2 linked regions of the Oryzias latipes genome follow. Each later gene encodes a partner of the first gene's protein in a complex. Links are inferred from orthologs where the notes say so. Each region holds a gene or a part of one and is shown in the gene's direction. Other genes may lie near its edges.

Region 1 (10,993 bases):
TTTCCCATCAAAATGCGACTTATAGTCCAGTGCGACTTATCTGTGTTTTTCTACTTTATAATGCATTTTTGGGCTGGTGCGACTTATACTCCGGAGCGACTTATAGTCCGGAAAATACGGTATTATCTATTATTTATCCATTTAAACTCAAAAGCATATTAGAATTTTTTAATGTGTCTCCTTTCCCAAAAATGCTGTCAGAAGAAAGAGACAAAACATCAAAAACTTTTCAAAAAAACTTAGTGTTTGCACAGAGAATAATGAACAAAAACACAGATAAGTTGCTTGGAGTTGCCTTTGAAAGCATCTACAGTGGGTTTTAGTGCTTTATTAGTCTGTTGGCACCTAAAATATTCTTCTCTTGTTGTCTGTAGATTTTACACATTTCCAGATTTACAAGAACATAGAGATTTTGCTATTACAGATGTATAAAAAATGCCTCACATTTGTTGATGAAGTACTATGGAGGGAGAATCTTTTTGGACACGCATTTTTAATCATCTTTATCTGTTTCGAGAAAAAAAGTTTTTTTCTTGTCCCTGAAATTTGTACATGTTTGACCATCTGGTAACTATTTTTGGATTCTGTCAAGGTGAATGTTCTTGGTTCTTGGAAGATCTTGGTTGCTCCGTTGGGAATCTTTAACACAAAGTAAGGCTGCAGTTCTGTGTGGCCAGAGTTCTAAAGTTCAAGTCCCATTAGTTCTCCGCATTACACTGTGAATATGAACTATAATAAATGTTAATATGAATAGAAATCCAAAGACTACTCGCATTTGCTTTAAAATCCCTAAGCTAGGTCGGTCTACTAGAACCCCAGGATTCCAAAAAGACCTGCCCACCATCCCCTGGGGGAGCGGTGAGCTGCAGACACACTCTGGAATTGTTTGGGGGTTTAACCCCCACTATTGAGCCCTTAATTCTGAGTGTCAAGCAGTGAGACTTTGGGTCCCATTTTTAAGTCTTTGGGATGACTCGGCTGGAAATTTCAACTCACAACTTTCCAGTCTCAAGGCGGACACTCTACCCAAAGGCCACTGAGTAACATTTGCTACAAATCAAACCTTTGCAGGCTAAACACGTTTGATCCAGGTAATCAATGATTAGAGCAGAAGGGTCTGACATAGCGGTGAGGAAACGGATCCTCCAAGACGGGACTTTGCTGCTCTCCGCTTTAGAGTCTTACTTTTTAGTTGTTGGATTTGATGCAGCATCTGTAAACTAGATCAGTTGTTTGTTGGAATGCTACACGTGCAGAACTTTATAAAGTCTTGTTCTCATACGTTTAAAAAAGAGGTATTGTTTGTCTTATATTCTCTAAGCTATTTTAGAAGTGATAATCTCTGATCCTTTTCATACAGGGGCATCTGCGGGAGGGCAAATGCCACCTGTCCCTGGGCAATGCGATGGCTGCCCGACGTTGTTTCCAGAAGGTTTTAGAGCTGGAGCTGGAAAACGGTCAGGCCCAGCAGGAGGTGAGAGAAGCTTTGACTCAGAACCTGCAAATACACGACAGACAGCATTAGAAGGCGTCGAGTTGAGCTGAATTCTCAATGAAATGGCAGCAGATTATCTCTGTGCAGTCCTAGCATGATCTGGAAGAACTGGTTAAGGCAAGAGCACAGGGCAGTTGCATACCTACTGTTAGGTTCTAAGCATTGTCACTGAATACCAGCCTTTCCTTTGGCAGGTGAAGAATGCTGAATCCATTCTGGAGTATGAGAGAATGGCAGAAATTGGTTTTGAGAAAAGAGACTTCAGAATGGTGAGCCCCCCCGATCATTTTCTGTCCTATTTGTTTTCCTTTCGTCTGACACAGTGATTACCGCAATGCTACAAACTGAGTGTTTGTGTTCTCTTAAGGTTGTCTTTTGCATGGATCGTGCCTTAGAGTCAGCCCCAGCTTGTCACAAGTTCAAGATACTGAAAGCCGAGTGTTTAGCCCTGCTGGGACGATACCCAGAGGCCCAGTCAGTGGCCAGGTAAGACGTGTGGTCATAAAACCATCAGTTTATGTTAAACAGAAATAAAATTTCTTGTATTCCCCCCCCCCCCCCCCCTCTTTTAAATCAGTGACATTCTGCGAATGGACTCCACGAATGCAGACGCTCTGTATGTGCGTGGCCTTTGCCTGTACTATGAGGACTGCATCGATAAAGCCGTCCAGTTCTTCGTCCAGGCCCTGCGCATGGCTCCCGATCACGATAAAGCTCGCCTAGCATGCAGAGTTAGTAAATCAAACAAGAGTTTTCACAAACTACTATCTTAAAATGTCAATGTGAGGCATAAGAAAGCATGTTTTAGATGAGTTTACTTCTACATTAGCTTTAAGCACTCTATAGATTTGGTTTCCTTTTTTCTCTTTCATTCCCAGGATGCCAAAGCACTAAAAGCCAAGAAGGAGGAAGGGAACAAGGCGTTTAAAGATGGAAACTTTGAAGCAGCCTATGAGCTTTACTCTGAGGCATTAACAATAGACCCCAACAACATCAAGACTAACGCAAAGCTGTACTGTAACAGAGCCACTGTGGGATCTAAGGTGAGTAACATGACCTACATCTTCAAGATTTTAAACTTTCAGCAAGAGAACAAGAAGATTTTTGGATGCTTGGTGGATGTTTTCCTCTTTCACATCAGTAAGACTTCATTTTCTTCCATATCTACCCTTTTCTTGTTCTAATTTCCACTGTTTTTCTTCCCTTCCAAGCTGAAGAAACTAGATCAGGCCATTGAAGACTGCACAAAGGCCATCAAACTGGATGAGACCTACATCAAGGCCTATTTAAGGAGAGCACAGTGGTATGTTCAATGAAAATGATGCTTTCTACAGGCTTACAGTTATGTTCCAAGCAGATTTTGGACCCTATCAGGCGATAGAAAAATGTCAGTTATTGTTCTTTTGTTCGTGTTTGATATTTGTTAGTAAAAGACTATGAACCAAATGTGTTGCAGCTACATGGACACAGAGCTGTATGAAGAGGCAGTGAGAGACTACGAGAAGGTTTACCAGACAGAAAAGACAAAAGGTGAGAGTGCTTTGTTCACAGTGAGGAGTGTGTCTGTAGAAGTGATATAACAGCATCCTTCCCAAATTTATGCTTGTACGTGGTAAAACCTAAAACCTGTCAGTGTTTGTCCCTGGAAGCTCTTGGCTAAATGTAGCCACAAAAGAAATAATTTGTCTTTTTTTGTCTTTCTTTTTTCTCTTTAGAACACAAGCATCTTTTGAAAACTGCTCAGCTGGAGTTGAAGAAGAGCAAGCGGAAAGATTACTACAAAATACTCGGCGTGGAAAAGAACGCCACAGAGGATGAGATCAAAAAAGCCTACCGCAAACGGGCGCTGTTACACCACCCAGGTTGTTGATTTCTCCCGGCCTTAGAATTAGCCCCGGTGGAACTTGATTACGAAACGAAACGCTGTTTCCTTTTTTCTCCCTTTTAGATCGCCACAGCGGAGCCAGCCCAGAGCTGCAAAAGGAAGAGGAGAAAAAGTTTAAAGAAGTGGGGGAGGCTTTCAGCGTGCTTTCCGACCCTAAGAAGAAATCTCGCTACGACAGCGGGCAGGATCTTGAGGATGACGGCATGAACATGGGAGGTCAGTGTCGGCGGTGGACTCTGGGAAGCTTCTTATGCAGCAGAGGAGTGAGTCTCACGAATCGTTCTTCTGTTCTGTCTCTTCCAGATTTTGACGCTAACAACATTTTCAAGGCTTTTTTTGGAGGCCCAGGAGGTTTTAGTTTTGAAGGTAATTTCTATCTTGTTTATGAAATAAAAAAACACTATCAGTATTTCTGCTATGTGGGTATATTTTAGAATCTGAAATGGATTCTTTTTGTTTTGTTCCTGTGCAGCATCTGGACCTGGAAATTTCTTCTTCCAGTTTGGTTAATTGGAGAACACGTCAACCTATATCTTTACTGAATCAGGACTTTTCGGCAGTGTCGACCCATCAGCTCCACATCGGTTTTGACTTACTGACTGCTCTCCAGATTCCCGTCTATGCCATCCGCTGAATGCAACCCAGCGACCACATGCAGCCATTGATTTATAGCCCGTTCCAGCAACGGCATCAGTGGGTTATGAGCGTTGCTGGTTTCGGATTCAGCGTTCCCCGTTCCAGAACCACTTGGAAAATCAGTGGTGGCTAGAAAGCACTGGCCCAAACCTCACCTCTGGATTTCTATGATGAAGGAGAGGTCCTGCAGCTATTTTATCCCAGCTTTTACAGATCCGTTCAAAAGTGCCATCTTAGGGAAACTCTTTGAGATGTGACTGCAAATTTAGAAAGCTTTTATTTTGCAGAGTGTTCTGCGCGTGAAAGGTAGACACTTGATCGATGCTTTCTGAAAAAGAAATCATGGATCTTGTAGGCGTCTGTCACACATCCAGTGGGGGCTTTGAATTTGAATGAGAACTGCCTCTATAGCCTATAGGATCGCTGGATTCTGTTTGAATTCAGAGAACAGCTGGACCTCTAGGACCCCCCCCCCCCCCCCCACACACACACACACACACACACAAAAAGCACAGCCACTACACACTATGACGATGGAAACATCTGCGCCAGCGTTGATGCCAGCAAAGTCCTCCACTAGTTTTTTCTTTGTTGCCATTCACTAATTGCTGCAATGTACATGTTGCTGGAATGTAAAGTGTTGAGTTGTAATGTCAGGTAATCCTTTCTTTTTTTCACTTTTTATTTTTTATTTTCTTATGTATATTTATTGTCATTTTGATTTCTGATCAACAAAAGGCATCGGATACACGCACTCCTCTGCTGCATAAGAAGCTTCAAAAACGCCATTTATTTCTGCTTGAAAACAAAGCAACACAGTTGTGCTAAAGTGGGTGATGCTGCCTGACTGTGATGATGCCATCAATGGGATTTGACAAAGTGGTTCAATAATGTGAGGTTTTTTTTTTAAGCTGCTGTCTCTGAAATTTTGGCCCAGTGGTTACTGTAACCATAAAATATTACCTCTTGTTGAAGAAATGAAGAGTGTCCTTATCTTTACTTAGGTTTTGCCCTCTCTGGTGAAACAACCAAATCCTCACCTGTGAATAAAACCAGCTGTGTCAATAAAGTTGGCCTTCTCCGGGTTTCCCCTGCATCATTTCTTCCTCTTGTTCTGCTTGTCCTGTCTTCATCGCAGTATCGTTTATTGTTGCACACATTGAACACAAGAGGGCACCCCTTTGCTTTGTTGGTGCAGTTGCTAGGATACCAAGGGACACATGTTGCCTACATCTTGGGGGAGAAAACATGTCGGAGACTCGAGAAGACCTCCAACAGAAAAGGCCACAGAGTTTTTCAACTTTGGTGTCTGCTGGAAAGCAGCTGCTGCACAAGCGGGAATACAGAAGAGCCCAAAGCAGCTTCACTGCGGTGGGTTTGGAACTTTTGTCTTGTTTCACCTTTAAAAAAATGCTCTTTAACTTCTTTTTTTGTTTTGTTTTTTTAACAAACTATAGATATTAGATTTAAAACCAGAGGATAAGGAATGCTTGATCGGACGGTCCAACTGTTATCTAAACACGGGTCAACTCCAGAACGCCCTGAGGGATGCTGAGCTGTCCCTCAAACATGACAAGTCCTTTCCTGAGGTAACCGCCGATGCAAAGGTCCCACCTGAAGGCCGAGTGGAGCTTTACTTTTTATTTATTTTTTCAGGGGGTCTACCAAAAAGCTAAAGTTCTGTTCTACATGGGAGAATTTGAATTTTCGTTGGTGTTTTACCACAGAGGACAAAGCATTCGCACGCAGATGCAGTGCTTCACGCTGGGTATCAAGAAAGCTCAGGAGGCCATTAAAAACGCAGTTGGTGGTAATAAGGAACTTCAAAAAAACTTTTCCTAATATAAAATAATTTTTTTTAACATAAATTGCACTTTAATCTTTTTTTTTCCTGCAGATTCCACCAATGTCAAACTGAAGGTTGGAGGAGACTTGTCATTTCTTGAGAATGAGGAGGCGGTGAGTTTTAAAGATTGAAAAATTTGTACACTTGAGGTGTATTTTATGAAGTACAAGTATAACAATTATACTACAGATCGGGGGTCTGCAACCTTTAACGCTAAAAGAGCCATTTGGGCCTATTTCTCATGGACCAAACCCCAGAGAGCCACCGAGTACCACTACACATTTTAGAAAATACACTTTATGCTTTGGTGGCCATTTATTTGCACTTTAACTTATTTTAGTTTTGACAGCAGCACATGCAATTTCCTGTCAAAATAAATCCTGTGGCATCCTGTGCCAAATAAGATCCTCCTGCTGCAGCAGATTTACTGTAATTAAATGTGTAATTTAACTTTACACTTTGACTTTGATGCACCGTCATCTTTTACTCTCCTTTTACTATCAGTTATAAACATCACACAATGGTGCAGAATCCGATTTAACACAATATAAAAACTGTAAACATTAAAAAATAATGAATCACTCTGAAAGTAAAACTAAACCTTTTTCCACCATTTTACTCAGTTATTTGACACATAAACATACATGGAAAAACTTAAATAAATAAAAAGTTAAACAAAACCGAAACTGCAAGTTGCAGCTCCTTTATATTTCTTTAGACTAAATTGGAACATTTTAAGTTAGTATATTTATGTTTATAGAAAGTATAAATAAACTTCCAGTATACTGCCTCACTTTTAGTAAAGACTAAGTAGTACTTTTGATTATACTACTTTTTGCACAATGACATTTTTTTTTTCTTATCAAATCAACAGCACAAAAACCACCTGCTTTTTTATGCTGTTTTCTTTAAAGCTGACGACTCCAAAAAAGAAGATGACTATATTAGTATGTTTGTTTGTTTTATTTTCTGAAAAGGAGTTGCATCTTGCTGCATGTCATGTTAATGACACTCTTCCTTTATGCTGTTGTAACTTGTTAAGAGGTTACGGCCAATCAGTGTCGTTGAGAATCTGATGGAAGAGGAGAAAAATGAGGCTCCAAAGTCCTTCAGGATCGAGAAGGCAACCAAACATCTGATGGGGGATTTTGTCGACCATAAAAAGTTTCTTGAAGACCTGATGAAAGATGAAGGTACTGTGCGGATCAAGTCCCTGCACTTCAGTTTCACACAAGACAAAGTTCTCTTGTTAATCCTTTGGGGGGTTTTTTTCAATTCAATGATCTGCAGATTTGATGAAGGAAAAGACAAAGAGTGGAGAACAAGTACAAGACATAATTCAGGACAGCCTCGTTTCAATTGAGACCTATATAGAGATCTGTAACCAAGAAAATATAGTCGCCCCCCAAGAAAAGAAGCCTCAGCATCAGGAGGTTAAGCATTCCACGACTTCTAAGTTTAAGGAGTTCCCGCTGAAGACCCTCCGAGAAATAGATGCAGGTACATCCGGTCAACAATATTTCCTGTTGGTCATTTTAGAGGAAAAAATATACTTTTTCTTTTGGATTTTAGCGCTGGAATCTGGAAATGCAGAAAATAGCCTCAAGAAGGCGAAAGGAGTCCTGAAGTTTGTAGAGAGGCGGTCAAAGACAGAGTTTCCCCATAAAAAGCTGCTTCTGGGCAGTTTGCACAGCTCTATTGGAAACGCTTTGCTTTACCAAGGAGAACTGGACAAGGCCTTGGAGCATCATCAAAAGGAGCTTGATTTGGCAGAGCAATGGTGAGGAAAGTCCACAAAAATAGATGGAACTGTTTTTAACAGACAACAAAAAAAAATCTTTTTTTTTTTTTACCAACAGCAAACTTCCAGAAGCAAAATCCAGGGCTCTAGATAACTTAGGGCAAACATATGCTCAAAGTGGAAACTTTGCAGAAGCAATTGAGCTGTAAGTAAAAAAAAAAAAAAAACTATTTTGTGAAATAAGACTGAATATTTATGGTTATTTCCATTCAACATTCAGATGGAAGAAGAGGATTCCTTTGGTCCCCAGTGGTTTGGAGAAAGTCTGGTTGTTGCATGAGATCGGCTGTTTTTACTTGCAGCTTCATCGCTATGAAGAAGCCAAAGAATACGCCATCCTTTCTGTTGCCGAGGCAGCTGAGATCCCAGATGTAAAGTGGAAGATGAACGCCAGTGTTCTGATGGCACAGTCAGAATGTAAAGGATCTTCATCTTTTGGAATTATTACATTGTAAATACTTTATGTTTGACTATAGTTTACTTTTTTTCTCTTTAAAGTGAGGCTTGGAAATTTCAAATCGTCAGTGTCCCATTTTGAAACGGCTTTAGTTCATGCCAGACTTCAAGATGATGACTCTGCCCTGAATGCCATCCAAAAGGTTCCCTCTGCTTTTACTTGATTTCAGTTATTTACTTTTTAAAAAATTCTAACTCTAAAGTTTGTGATTGCAGGCTCTTGAAGAAGCAAAGCAACACATCAGAAAGTGAAGACTTCTTCAGTGGTACAATGCAAAGAAATGACCGTCATCAACATTGTAGCTTCTACAATCTTTTTCAAAATGTCAAAATTTTCTGTCTGCTCCTGATTCACTAAGATTTGAATAAAGAAATACTTAGAAATATAATTTTTATTATTAATATCCTCAATTATCAGAAAAATGCTACAAAAACATGTAACTTGAGAGTTGGTCTTTGTTATTTAGTTTATTCTGCAAACTAAAATCTTAGTTATAACTCAAGTCTTCAGTGGTAACTGATGTGGAAATAATGTTTACGTAAAGGACTCAAAAATTCACTTTTTTCTTGTCTTTTGGAATTTTGCAAAGATTTGTGCCACAATATTGTCTCTGTAGTAATTTTAGAAAAAAAGGCGTGCAACCTTTTATGCTCAGTGGCCACTTTCACAAGTTATAAATAAACAGTTTTTAAGTCACAACATTTCTGCTACTTTCAATATACTCTTATGTAATCCATTACAGTTTGAGAAGGAGACACTTGCAGTGGGTTGTCTGTTATTTGTGATCTGATATGTACAGATTTACATGCATCTGACTGCCATTAAGTCATGCTCAAAGTGTCACTGGACATTTATTTTGTTGGAAATGTACATATCTCAAAATTCAACATTCTCTTTCATTCCTCTGACTTAACCCCTGTGCTATCCTAGGCACTTTAACGTTGGGAGTTGGGTCATCTAGACCCACTAGACAGTGCTCTGAACCTTTTTTCTTCAATGATTTGGGATCTTCACTGGTGTCCATGGATTACATAAAATCTTTCCACCTTTATCCACCTTTGTCATGGTAGGGAGAACATGTCAATGCACAAGGGTTAAAAACAGGTTCACATTCTCTGTAAGTGTGCAAATCACTTGTTTGTATGTTGTGTGCGAAGATTATTTTGGAACAATGAAAGCAGGTGTGCTTTACCAGAGCTTATTTTCATGTGTTGAGTTTCCTGTGAACCAGCGCTTGTTTATTTTTAACATGAACCTTTTTTTAAAAAAAAAAAAAATAGCAGAAACTACCACTATTTTTGATTTGAGCATTTTTCCACACCCTCAAAAAATTCTTGACTTGCTGATGCTGCAGTTATTATTCTGGTTGATAGAAGAAGTAACATCTAAACATTTGCATGAGCTGTTGGGAAGCTGCTTCACCAAAATTGGATAAGTAAATTATCGTTCTATAAATAGAGTTCTAAAATCATTAGTGATTAAATGTATTTATGCATATAGGGCCTTTCTTTAGAGAACGATTTTTAGTCTCTATTTTTCAAAAGAATTTAACAGTCAGTTGGCTCTAATGGATTTCAAGTGAGGCAACATTTGGCTGCTTTACCTATTTAAATCATTATTGAAATAATGCATCCACAATCAAAGATACAGTAGTAGGTCGCCAATGCTTTGAATTCTTATTCTTTTTGGCTCCGGTTAAGTGTTGACATGCAATCGATAAATAATACATCACAGATCTTTATTGCACCCAAATAACAGTTTTTCTTGTATAGATCTTAGATGATTGGGTTAGCCTGAAACAGGCATGTCCAAAGTCTGGCCCATGGGCTAAATGCAGCTCATGTTCAAAATTGTACCAGCTACAAGCTGCTTGAAATGGATTTGCTAAATTACATTTTACACTAGTTTACCTGTGACAACAGCCTGTGGCTACTTGTCCTTCAGAGCCTTAATGGCCAGATCCAAAAAAACAAATGTATTGGTTTCTGTGACCAAAACCACAGAGGTTTTACTTCTGAAGAAGATACAGATTTGTGTCGTTTTCCTGTTTCCACGACTTCAATGTATAAGTTTATATTAATATGTAGCATTTCATATGAACCACATTTATGGTGGATTTTTTTTTTTAGACAGACTTTTTCATTACTTCAGTTCTGGTCTTCAAATATGAAATTTATTGTAAATTAGATAAACGATGTATTTGAAAATATTTGTGTTATACAAAGTATTCCCTTTCAAAATGGTTTCATCAAATGGTTCATTTGTATTTTTTCTTTTTTTTTTTTTATCAAATGGGTTTAACAATGCAGGCTGACTGGCTGGCCCTCACATATTTGGACACCCCTGCAGTAAAATCTGATGTTTCAACAGAAGGAGATGAAATCTTTTTCTGTGTTTTCTCGTGTCATTGTGAACATTTGTATGAAGAACACCCATAACTCCTTTACCAATTTGAAGAAATTTTTTGATTTAAAAAAACCCAGGATTAACAGACAATGAAATGCATTAAAAAACATAAACTTTCTGTAAACGTGTAAAATTCTAAGGAAATACACATTTCTGTTAATTTCTTTGACCTGAACAAAAGCCACAACAAGTTTGTCTCAAAAATTAGATGAAATGTTTTATTAATTTATTAGTATTTTTATTAGAAATGACTATTTACAATATTTTATATTCCTGTGCCGCCCACTTCCGGTTGGCAGGGGCGTGCCTGGCCCTGCCCACTTGCGCGTTCCCGGGAGTTTTCCTTTTTTTTTCTTATTTGAATCCCCCCTCCCTCGTCAGAGTAACGTGTCTGCGGCCAGCGCCGCGTTGTCATTGTATTCAGAGGGACAATAACGTGGTCAGCACAGCAGCACCTCCAGCTTCAC
Region 2 (10,753 bases), on another chromosome or scaffold:
TCTGGTACTTTTTTATTCACCTAAAATATTAAGATATGACGTGACATTGACTAATTCTGGAATAACCCTGAATCCCACTGTTTGTCTTTCAATGCTGCAGGATCCTGGAGCAGACAGGGACAAACCCATCTTTTCTGCGGCTGCTGTCCGGGCGCTGGTTTAAGGAGGAGTGCAGCAAGCGCCATAACAGCTGGACGTCGGGCAGCGACCTCATCCGGGCCTCCATACGCCACAGAAAGACAAAGAGCAGAGGTCAGGTTCCAGTAAATGCGCTCGCCTGCCGAGCCGTGTTACGGCTGTTGTGGGGAAACCTCAGCAATGGTTCTGTGGCTGTTGCCATGGCAACAGATGTATCTCTGCAGGAACTGTTTGATGGAGAAAGACGGGAATCTGTTGCTGGCAGCGGTTCTCTGGAGGCAAAGGGGAGACCGAAGGACTGCAAAGACAAGGAGCAGGATGAAGGGTGGGTATCTGTCACAATCAGACCACTAATGCGACATTTGAAAATTTGATTCAGCTTCTCTTCTGTTCTTTCAGGCCTCATGGAAACTCGGCACACACAGCCAGACATCAAATTCCTGGCATGCAGGTGTGTGTGAAAAATCTTGTGTTTGTTTCCCATCCTTTCAAGTGTACTCAACCATCTTAATACACCAATCAATGATCTTCAACTACAGGAGAACAGCAGTATTAATACCTCACACTCCAAAGGTATGAACGTGTCTTTCCTGATATCTTTGCTTGCGACTCTTTTTACATAATAAACATGTAGCTGTGCCAATAGGATATGAAAGGAGAAGTAATGGCCACCCAGGGAAATACGAGGTGATCACGACGCACGCACAGACCAACACCCCCCCCCCCCCACACACACACACACACACAGGATCTTAACTAATGGTTTGGCAAACATCTACTCTGAGTGCCACCCTTGGGCCACAAGCTCTAACCAAATATTTGACATTATGCAAGAGGAGGATTCATTCAAACCTGTTTTCGCTCAATGCGTTACATTATTATGCTTCAGTTTCATGTTCATCAGATGTACCCAGCTCACTGGATAGAAATAACCAAACCTTAAAGTTTGAGGAACTCCGTAAACAATCTGTCTAGAAAAAAAAATACATCAATGAGGGAAAGAGATATAAAATCATATCTTAGGAACATTTTCTTCCTAGAAGAAGGTTGAAAACAGATTTGGTTTTGCAGCCAAAATGATCAAGAAGGAAATCTAAATCTTTATGCATCTTCTGCAGAGGTGGGTGAAAAAAATGAAGCTGCAAGCAGCACTGAAAGGAGCTGAAGCCCAAAGAAAAATGCAAGCTCCCTTTTTCTAAAGCTGCATTGTTGAACTGATGGTGTGCTCTCCAAAGGCTCACTTGTAATTAGCAAGAACGCTGATTAAAACACGAGCGTTGTTTTTTTCCAAATGCAAGGGGAGCGATCTGAAACTGTTTTCTGATTCTGCAAGAGTAGCTGCAGATCAAGTCAAATTTTTTGGAAATTTTGTCCAAATGAGTGTGATATTATGGAGATATTACTTTTACCTTTGTAATTTTATCTTTGTTTCTCAGAAAAGCTGCCAAAAATCTTCTACAATTTATGACGTTGTTCACATTTTAATGTGTTATGAATCCAGTGTTTATTAAAGTTCAAAAAGAAATGTGCATGACTAAAAACATTGATTTGTGTATCTAAAGTGCAGATTGGGACTCCAAATATTTTCTTTGGACCTCAGGCTAACTCCAACTGACCTTTATCAGTTTATTGGAGAGCATCTGCTGGACCAGAAAAAAGAAAATAATAGAAAGCAAACACTAAACCACATAAATACCTCTGCAGAATCAGTTAAAGCAGCTGCTTCTCCCCAAAAGCCACGAAGTGCATACAATATATTTATTGATAAATATATAAATTGAGAGATTGTTTATGGTTTTGTATAATTAGTATTCTGAATCATTGTGCTTTATTAATTCATAATACGCATACAATTTAAAATAAAGAAAAAAATAAAAGTACATCTTATCATTTCTCAAATGACTACATATGTTTGTTCAATTAAATGGCTTTTTCTGAGTGAACATATGTGAGTACAGTTGTGTGTTTGTTTGAGTGCAGGAAGATTTGAGTCACAACAGGGACCCAAACTCTCTGAGCATCAGCCTGACAGAACAAGATCCATCCTCCCTGAATACCAAGAGCTCCACCAACAGCCTTCAGTCGAGCTACACGGTACACACACGAACGCGCATGCACGCACACACATTTGTCAAATCCACTGTCTGGCGACGCAAGATGACTCAGCTCTGGACACTGACGCAGGAGCTGATCTTTGCTGTTTGTGTTACAGCTCAGTGGGAGCATGATGAGTCTGTTCAGCTCGGGGGATTTCGGGGTGGTGGAGGTGAGGGGCCGCATCCAGTACTCATTGGTTTACGACGATCACAAGGAGGAGCTCCAAGTGAAGGTGTACTGCTGCGAGGACATCGCCTCGGCGCGCAGGAACCGCTCTGATCCGTGAGTGAAAGGGTGTGCGTGAAACTGGCAGCGTCCCTCAGATCCACTCCGTGAAAATGGTGCTTGTTCATTTCACAGATACGTAAAGACTTATCTCCTGCCAGACAAGTCCCATCACAGTAAGAAGAAGACTTCGGTGAAGAAGAAGACACTGAACCCAGTCTATGACCAGACCCTCAGAGTGAGAGCATCCCGTTTGCATGTTGCATAAAACATTAGCATTTGTCGTTTATCTTTCAGCTCTGTGGCTGTCATCGCAGTGATTAGTCATGCATATTGAAAAAAAAACAACACAGCTACTATTCACCTTTTATGTCTCATAACTCAAGGTCATTGGAGTCTTTCTTTTTCTGCACTCTTCAAGTATAAAGTGCGTGCAGGGGAGCTGCAGAGTCGAACTTTAAACCTCTCTGTGTGGCATGCCGAGCCCCTGGGGAGGAATATCTTTCTTGGAGAGGTGGAGGTGGCTCTGGGGCTCTGGGACTGGACCTGCACACAGCCACTGTGGCAGGACCTGCAGCCACGGGTGAGCACCCTGATGACTGGCATTGACGTAAACTCATACTCAGTCAGGTCCTCTATTGCATGTGCGAAACCTCCTTCGGGTATAATTACCAAGCGACTGTGAAGCCTCCATCTTCATTTGTTCTGCAGCTGTCGTTTTGACAGCTTTGTTAGAGACGAGGCGGGGAGGAGTGTGTGGGGGGGCTGAGGAGAAGCAAAGACACGCTGTGAATTTTAACTAAGCTTTTTGGGTTTTTTTAAACGCAGCATTAATCTCCAGCTCTCGAGTCTGTCTCCACTTCCTTCTCTTTGTCACAAACTTCTCCCGTTTGCACAGATATACCTGAACCCAGACTGTGTTAGCAGCAGAGGGAAAATCTTGTTCTCGATTAAATTTGTTCCAGATGGATTTGAAGGTGAGCAGAAAGTACGTTTTACCCAACGCCACACGACTGTTCACTGTTCACCGGGTGTGTGTGTTCAGGTGGGGGTCTGCCTCTGACCGGGGAGGTTCACATTTGGCTTCGGGAGGCTCAGGGTTTGGTGTCCCACAAAGGAGGCCCGATTGACTCCTTCGTTAGAAGGTGTGTCACCTCCGCTGCACCTTTCCTCACTTTTTTTGCCAAGACTATTTAAATACTCTGAGAGATCCTTCCTTTATGAGTATCCTTTTTTAGTCCTGTGTTTAAACTTAGAAACTTTTTTTATCCAATTAATTTGAAATGTTTTATATATATTTGTGAAATCGCATTAAAAGGTTTGAGACATTTTGGCTAAATCGAGAAATATCAAGTGATGATCTTTAATTAGTGAAGTAACAACAGAAATCCAATGAAAGCTTTTGATACTATCTGTATTTTTTTGTGAAAATTAATATAAAGAATAAAAAAGTAAAACCGTGGAAATCACTTCTTTGTTTTGTTTGTTTTACCTCTCCACCCACAAGTTACATTCTCCCAGACGCTAGTCGACAGAGCGGTCAGAAGACGCGGGCGGTGAAGCGCAGCATCAGTCCTGTTTACAACCACACAATGGTCTACGACGGATTCCAGCCCAGCGACCTTGTGGAGGCCTGTGCCGAACTCACCGTGTGGCAGCGCGAAGGGCTAAAGATGCACATGCTGGGGGGGATTCGTCTGAGCTACGGAACTGGTGAGAATCCACTCCAGACGCAGCGTTATGTAACTAAGAGAAGCTGCTCTTACGCTTATTAACAAGAAATTGCACTAAACATAACAGGGAACCGAGTCTACATTTGTTGCTCATTTTAAACCCTGAAACTACTTAATACAACATCTCGTGTTTGTCTTCTGGTGGTCTACAAACAAGGGTGTAGCGGGCCTTCCTCTATTATCAGATTTATCGCCATTCATAAACAGTTTAGTGTTTGTTCTGCAGTGGGGTGCTGGAGCTACACAGTGGCATTTCAGCAATTTAGATAGCCTTGTTGCAAGAGGGAGGTCATGTCACAGAGTTATGTTGTGAAAAAGTGTTTCTTTGTGGATTCCTGTCTTTTTACGATTTACAAAAGCAGCTTTTATTTAATGTGTGTAAGTTGTAGCATGCATAATTAGCAGTGTATTTTTGTTTAGCAGCATTGACAGTTAAATTGTTTTGCTTATAGTTTTACTGTGGTTCACACCTCAAAATCTACTGGGCGTGGGAGTATTTTACATTTGGAGCTATCTCAAAATGTTTCATATCCATTTATTATTCTTTAGGCAGCTGCAGTACAATATTGCAGCCATTTTGAGGTTTTGAAAATGAAACAATTTATCTGTTCATCCGAAGCCTTTTCTGGTTACTTAGGAGCTATGCTACTGCAAAGGTTATGGAGATAAACACAATGGTAAAAGGATACTGAGGTTGGAGCTGCCAGGAAAGAAGCCAAAGAGGAAACTGACTGAGGTAGTGAAGGGGGTGCATGAGGGTGGTTGATGTGAGAGAGAAGGATGTTGAGGAAAAGATCAGGTGGATGCAGATTCACTGTGTTGACCCCTGAAAGGGAGCAGCTTGAAGAGGGTGAAATGCTAATGCCTCTATTAAGTGTTCTGAACTTTAACCTTCTTAAAAAAAACGGAAAAATTCCTGGAAAATAACAGAATTTTCAGACTCTGTTCTCCATAATGCTGAGTTCTGACTGAGTATACGAACATCAGTTATTCAACAATAAAGATTAGGGAAAAATTCTGATTACCATTAAATTGAGAGACATGTTTGTTTGATGAAGATTACAAAAAATATTAGAAAAAGAACCACATAAAATTTTTCAACAAACAATTTTATCTTTGCTCTAAATTCATCTCTTGAATAAAGTGTTTCATTAAATCTTAATGCTGATTTTTGTCCTAAATATTTTACTGCTGAACACTTTTGGTTGTTTCTATGATAAAATAAAAGTTTTTATTTGATTTTAAGATATATCTTTTTAAACAGTGGCTCAATTTGAATTGCTAGGACAAAGCTAAGGGGAGCCAGTCAGCTGGATGGACTCAACAGAAGAGGAAATTGCAGTTTGGACCGCCATGATTGAAAATCCAAACCACTGGATCGACTCGACACTAACAATCAGAGCTAACCTCACACAGCGCTCTGTGTGACTTGCACATTTGTTGGAGTTTATAAATCTTTGGACTGGAAAAAGAACCTCTCATTTATTCATATCTGTTGCACATTACATTCTTATTTATCATTTCTGACACTAAAAGCGTCTTAAAATTTGAATTTTTGAGATTAGATAGATACTTTGTTGGAACTTTTTAATTTTTTTTTGCTCAGTGTGTTTATTCTGCCATAAAAGATCTTATGATGTATTGTAATTTATCAGTTTGTCATTAAACCTAACTGGTGATACAGTGTTTTGATGTATTGACCTCGACTACGTGAAAAAGCAAAATATTAATCAGTTCAACTTTCTTAAGGGGGACTTTAAACTATTTTTTCAAAAGAAATGCATTTCTATACTATGTAATGTGAAATATCCCTCAGATAAACACACCATCCAGGGAAATAACACGTTTTCCTATATTTTGTGTTCATCCAGCAGAGGGCAGTGTCACAACAGGAAACGACTTTCCTTCAAAATAAAGTACCTTGTTGTGGCTTCGTGACAGAAATTCTACTAAACAGACAGAGATAGGGAGTTTCGTAACAACGACACTGTATAAACTACATGGTTTTGTTTTTTGTTTGTGCTTTACTAAAACATGTGTAATCTAATTTCCTCCTCTTGAACGTAACGGTTCGACGTGTTGACGTCAGACGTTTATACGTGTTGTCATGGTGAAGCAGATAAAACGGTTCTCCATTTCATGCAAGTTGGTTAAAAATGTCATCAGCCAGTAAAAAAGCGATACAGGCCCTCGCGGAAACAATCTCCAAAAAAGTGGAACACTGTGAGTATAATTTTAAAAACATTTAAACTTTTAATTATTCGTGTGACCATTCAAACAGTCAGAACATGATGTTTAAATGAGCTTTTTCATTTCAAGTTAATAAAAAAGAGGTGGAATGTCTTATCTGGAAGTTCAATGCACTTCTGGAGGCGCAGAAACATTCTGATGGTTCGGTTTCGGGTCTGGACAGAAACCAGTTCAAAGTGGTTCTACACAACCTGTTCGAGATGACCGACGACTTCATCATGGATAGAGGTACTATTAGTCACAAGCCTAAGTATTACATTGTAAAGTTTGCTACATCTGTCCTACTATTGGAAAAGTGTCTGCAATTTATCAAACCTTCTCAGTCTTCAGGATATTTGACAAGGACAATGATGGATTTGTCACTGTGGAAGAATGGATCCAGGGACTGTCTGTTCATTTTTGGGGCACTCTGGATGAACAGAAGAAATGCAAGTTCCCCACAGCATGTTCCTTCCTGCTTCTTAAGCACTACTTCTCACACAAATGAGGGAATGCACACATATTTAGCCCATAAGGCCTGTCTTTTCTCCCCCCCTGCAGACTGCTTTCATATGTATGACTTGAAAGGCAGCGGATTTATCACGAGAGACGACATTTTTCTCTTGCTGAAGGACAGTTTCCATCTGCGGCTTGAAGAGGAAGGCAGAGAAGACGACTATCAAGATGAACAGGATGAGATCAACGAACTGATGGAAATTGTCCTCAAAAAAATGGTGAGATGTTGCCCTCCCATCTGCCTTTGTCACATTTGGATCGATGTTGATTGTAAGAATTTTGTCTTGATGTGTGCAGATTTATTTTGGTAACATGCCAACATTGCTTCCTGTGATTCCACAGGACCACGACAAAGACGGCAGGCTGTCTTTTCAAGATTTTGAGAAGTCTGTAAAAAAGGAGGAGCTACTCCTTGAAGCCTTTGGAAGCTGCCTGCCCAATTTCAGGGTAATCACAACCAAAAGTTGCTGAGCTTAAAAATATTGTAAGGATCTATTTAACTTAAATCTTTCTTTTTAGACAAAGAAGAAGTTTGAGCAGCAAGTACTGGAAAAGCAGCAAGATGAATAATAAAATATGAAGTGCAAGCGGTGTTCAACTTTGAGACTTTCATGAAAGAAAAAGCCAAAATGTTTTTCTTAAAGTACAATTTTATTTTAAGTTGAGCCTTTCAACGTTAGTTTTGATAAATATGGACAGTCGTCACTAAAACAGAATGGATCATATCCGACGGCGTGGCTTAACCTTCTTCTCCGCTGGTTTGAGGTCTGGGACCGATGTCACCTAGGAATGAATGAAAAGAATGAGACTGAAATGCACCAATATGGCATCATGTCAAGCTCTAATTCTCATTAAAAAAAAAATAAAAGACTACCTGCTTCATTGTGCCCCTGATCAGATTTACTGTTGTGTTTAGCGACTGATCATTCATGTCCAGCTTATGTGGTTCTGGTAGTTTTGGTCCAATCAAAGACGGTTCTCCAGAATCAGGCACTGGCTGTTTTGTGGCCTCCTCCATTTTGCGGCGTTTGTTCTTTTCCAAATGTGCAGTTCTTGGAACAAGCTTGACGGAAGAATCTGGGTTGGAGGCCAATTTTTTTTCGGAATTAGGGTCTTTACTGAAAGAGCTAAAGTTCTGGACTTTCTGCTGTTTTACGTCAGGAGGCACTGCGTCATGTAAAGTCCCCATTTGATCTTCTGTTGGTTCGTTCCCACGATAATCCTGATGAAAGTATTCCTGCGGGGGTAAAGGCAGTAGAGGAAATCCGGAACAATGGCTGAAGCTTGAAGTCTCGCCTGTTTTGTCACTATTGAAGATTGGATTATTTGTAGCAAAAACTCTGCTTGATGTGGGAACGCTTTCTGAAGACGTAGATTCCATGTGTACCGCATCCGCTACTCTTTCTTTTGCTGTATAAACATGAAACAGATAAATGACACTCATCAAATTCTTTATCTATACTTTAAACTTACAAAACAACAAAAAACATTTGATTTCAGATAAAAATACACAAAAAAAATTTTTTAATCACAGTTTTTTTTCATTGAACTTTTAAAAAACAATTACCTAAGAAAAAAAAGATTCAGTGCTTTTCAACACCGTATATCGTCAAAATGCGATAATACCTCTACTCCGAGCCACTTTCAGAACATAACTTCTCCTGTCCTGCAGCTTTAACTTGGTGTCTTCCACAGACTCGTACTCCGGGACGTAACACACATGCAGCACGCCGCCATAGAAACTCTTCTCATCCATGTTACGTTTCGCCGCTCTGGAACATCAAATATCAACCTGAATGACATATTTTTCAGCATTTCTGGTTTAGGGCAGTACAGTTAAGGTGCCCGCCATACCTAGCACTTGTCAGTTTTTGAAACTTGACCAGGTAGACTTCTGTGAACTCCTCAGCAGGATACTCGTCCAGCGGTCTGTATTCCTCCACTGTTCCATAAAGAGCACACAACTGGATCAGCTCCTCCATCACTCCAATAGCGGGGACTCCCTGGATCATCACATAACGGGACTCTAAATTTATTGTGTAGACCTGGCAGATACAAAGGCATGGTTATTAGTATATGTGAGGCTGTTGACGTGACCAATAAAAATCAATTAACTTAAAGACATAATCATCAGATCTGATGTACTTTCCTGCAACTCAGAAATCCAGTCTACTGTATTAGAAATTTGATTTTTATGGTTTATTAATTACAATTTTTTCGAAATGACTCAAACTTTTTACCATGTCTTTTATTTAATTTTATTTATTTATTTTTGCCAAAACGACAGTTTTATTTGTTTTTTTAAGACCTGCCGTTGGTCTTTTATTTATCACTTGCTGTGTGACTACAATTTATACTTTTTTCTTCCAGTTAAAAAAAAAGATTTTAAAATTTTCTCTTACATTCTTAAATGTAAAAATAAAACCAACTTACACATAATTATTAGCTCGTCGCTTGCGTCAACACAGACCGTCTTTGCTACAAACATTAGAAACGTTTTTCTTACCTTGACTGCTTTAGCTCTCCTTCCATCTCTATATTTGGGTCTAGAAAAACATGCGTTGTGTTGTTCGTGATGTTTGTAGACTTCTGGGACCTTCCAACAACCAGGTTTACTGTTGACATTTGCCGCCATGTTTGCTGAAACGCGTTTCCGCTTTGGTGGCATTTCAAAACAAGAGTTCATTCCGTTGTGCAGAGCACTCAACGTGTAGTGTTGACGACGTGGCAGTCTTATTTTGAAATGATCGATTCCATCGACAATCGACTGTTTTGTCTGGATCAGTTCTCTCATTCATCGAAATGTTTGTTGCACTTTGGCCGTTAGCGCACCAGCATGTTAAGCACTTTAAATGCTAAAATAGCGATGTAAACGTCATGTTTAGCAACCAGGGAATTCAACCAGTATGTGTTGTTTTTAACAACACTAAAAACTGCTTTATTCAACTCTCTTCAAAGCTGATATCGCACCTTTCTCTGAATGAGGTAAAGTATTAGCTAATTACTTAACATCGCTTCAGTTTTGTTGCATAAAGTTTACTGAATAATGACTGCTTTTGTGTTTTACACATTGCTGGTTTGTTTCTCTGACATTACAAGGGGACCTTTGGTTGCATTTAAGGTTTTAGTTTTTCTTAATTAAAACTTATAACAAAAGCAGAGCATTTTTTTATTATCACGTGTACTTAATTAGTATTAGGAAGTAATGCAAGGCAACAAAAAATGAATTGTTGGTAAAAATAGAAATTGGGCATCAAATACTGTCCTCATTCAGGGGTCTTTAGTCTAAAGGAAACTGCATTGTTTTGATTTTTAACACATTAACTCCTAGAAATAGTTTAATTTAGAAAAGGTTGATTATTATAATAACTAATGTGATCATCTCAATATTTCTATATTTTGCTACCACACCTGTGGAATATTTTTGCAATTTTTTAATTTAATTCTTCTGCTGAGCATAAAATCTGAAATGTATGTAATGATACAAAATGTACAAGAATAAAAACTAATAAAGGTATCACAAGTATCTAACATTCATAAAGTTGGAATCATAATTTCGACATCCGCTTTAAGAGACCATTCTGTGTCTTATTTCATCGTCTCTCTTTGGCCGGTCCGTTTTAGAATCAGGCTTTGGAGCTGTCTTGGGACGGCGGGTCGACAGTGTTCCTTAGCTGGTGTCCCATCAGAGCCTCCTTAGGAGCAGACAGCCACAGAGTGGAGTTGTCTCGGCAGCTTGGAGAAAAGCTCGGTTTGACTGATGGAGAACAGGTAAAGACCTTGGTTTCTTCCTTTAGGTCATCAACTGGGACGAA

Evidence for each region.
Region 2: ttc25 (region 1) and efcab1 share a complex: the UniProt entries of both Homo sapiens proteins name them as parts of the outer dynein arm-docking complex. The link is inferred for Oryzias latipes from reciprocal best matches to the Homo sapiens genes ODAD4 and CLXN.

The regions. Positions count from the first base shown.
Region 1 is NC_019866.2:5,982,735-5,993,727, reverse strand, and holds ttc25 (tetratricopeptide repeat protein 25), read left to right. Parts: upstream 1-5,171; 5' UTR 5,172-5,264; coding exon 5,265-5,387; intron 5,388-5,473; coding exon 5,474-5,605; intron 5,606-5,672; coding exon 5,673-5,826; intron 5,827-5,913; coding exon 5,914-5,975; intron 5,976-6,904; coding exon 6,905-7,055; intron 7,056-7,152; coding exon 7,153-7,642; intron 7,643-7,721; coding exon 7,722-7,808; intron 7,809-7,883; coding exon 7,884-8,080; intron 8,081-8,161; coding exon 8,162-8,262; intron 8,263-8,335; coding exon 8,336-8,371; 3' UTR 8,372-9,099; downstream 9,100-10,993. Other genes in the region: dnajc7 (dnaJ homolog subfamily C member 7), read left to right, coding at 1,361-1,474, 1,690-1,764, 1,863-1,981, 2,073-2,226, 2,374-2,538, 2,707-2,798, 2,952-3,025, 3,211-3,357 and 3 more. UniProt on the Homo sapiens protein: Component of the outer dynein arm-docking complex (ODA-DC) that mediates outer dynein arms (ODA) binding onto the doublet microtubule. Plays an essential role for the assembly of ODA-DC and for the docking of ODA in ciliary axoneme.
Region 2 is NC_019869.2:21,761,884-21,772,636, reverse strand, and holds efcab1 (EF-hand calcium-binding domain-containing protein 1), read left to right. Parts: upstream 1-6,042; 5' UTR 6,043-6,349; coding exon 6,350-6,416; intron 6,417-6,512; coding exon 6,513-6,671; intron 6,672-6,766; coding exon 6,767-6,871; intron 6,872-6,983; coding exon 6,984-7,156; intron 7,157-7,280; coding exon 7,281-7,385; intron 7,386-7,457; coding exon 7,458-7,508; 3' UTR 7,509-7,658; coding exon of another isoform or gene 7,659-7,721; 3' UTR 7,722-7,806; downstream 7,807-10,753. Other genes in the region: sytl1 (synaptotagmin-like protein 1), read left to right, coding at 101-252, 349-463, 538-589, 678-711, 773-825, 2,119-2,232, 2,351-2,517, 2,596-2,698 and 5 more; rbm48 (RNA-binding protein 48), read right to left, coding at 7,659-7,721, 7,813-8,348, 8,565-8,710, 8,793-8,983, 9,445-9,606; pex1 (peroxisome biogenesis factor 1), read left to right, coding at 9,816-9,923, 10,563-10,709. UniProt on the Homo sapiens protein: Component of the outer dynein arm-docking complex (ODA-DC) that mediates outer dynein arms (ODA) binding onto the doublet microtubule. Seems to regulate the assembly of both ODAs and their axonemal docking complex onto ciliary microtubules.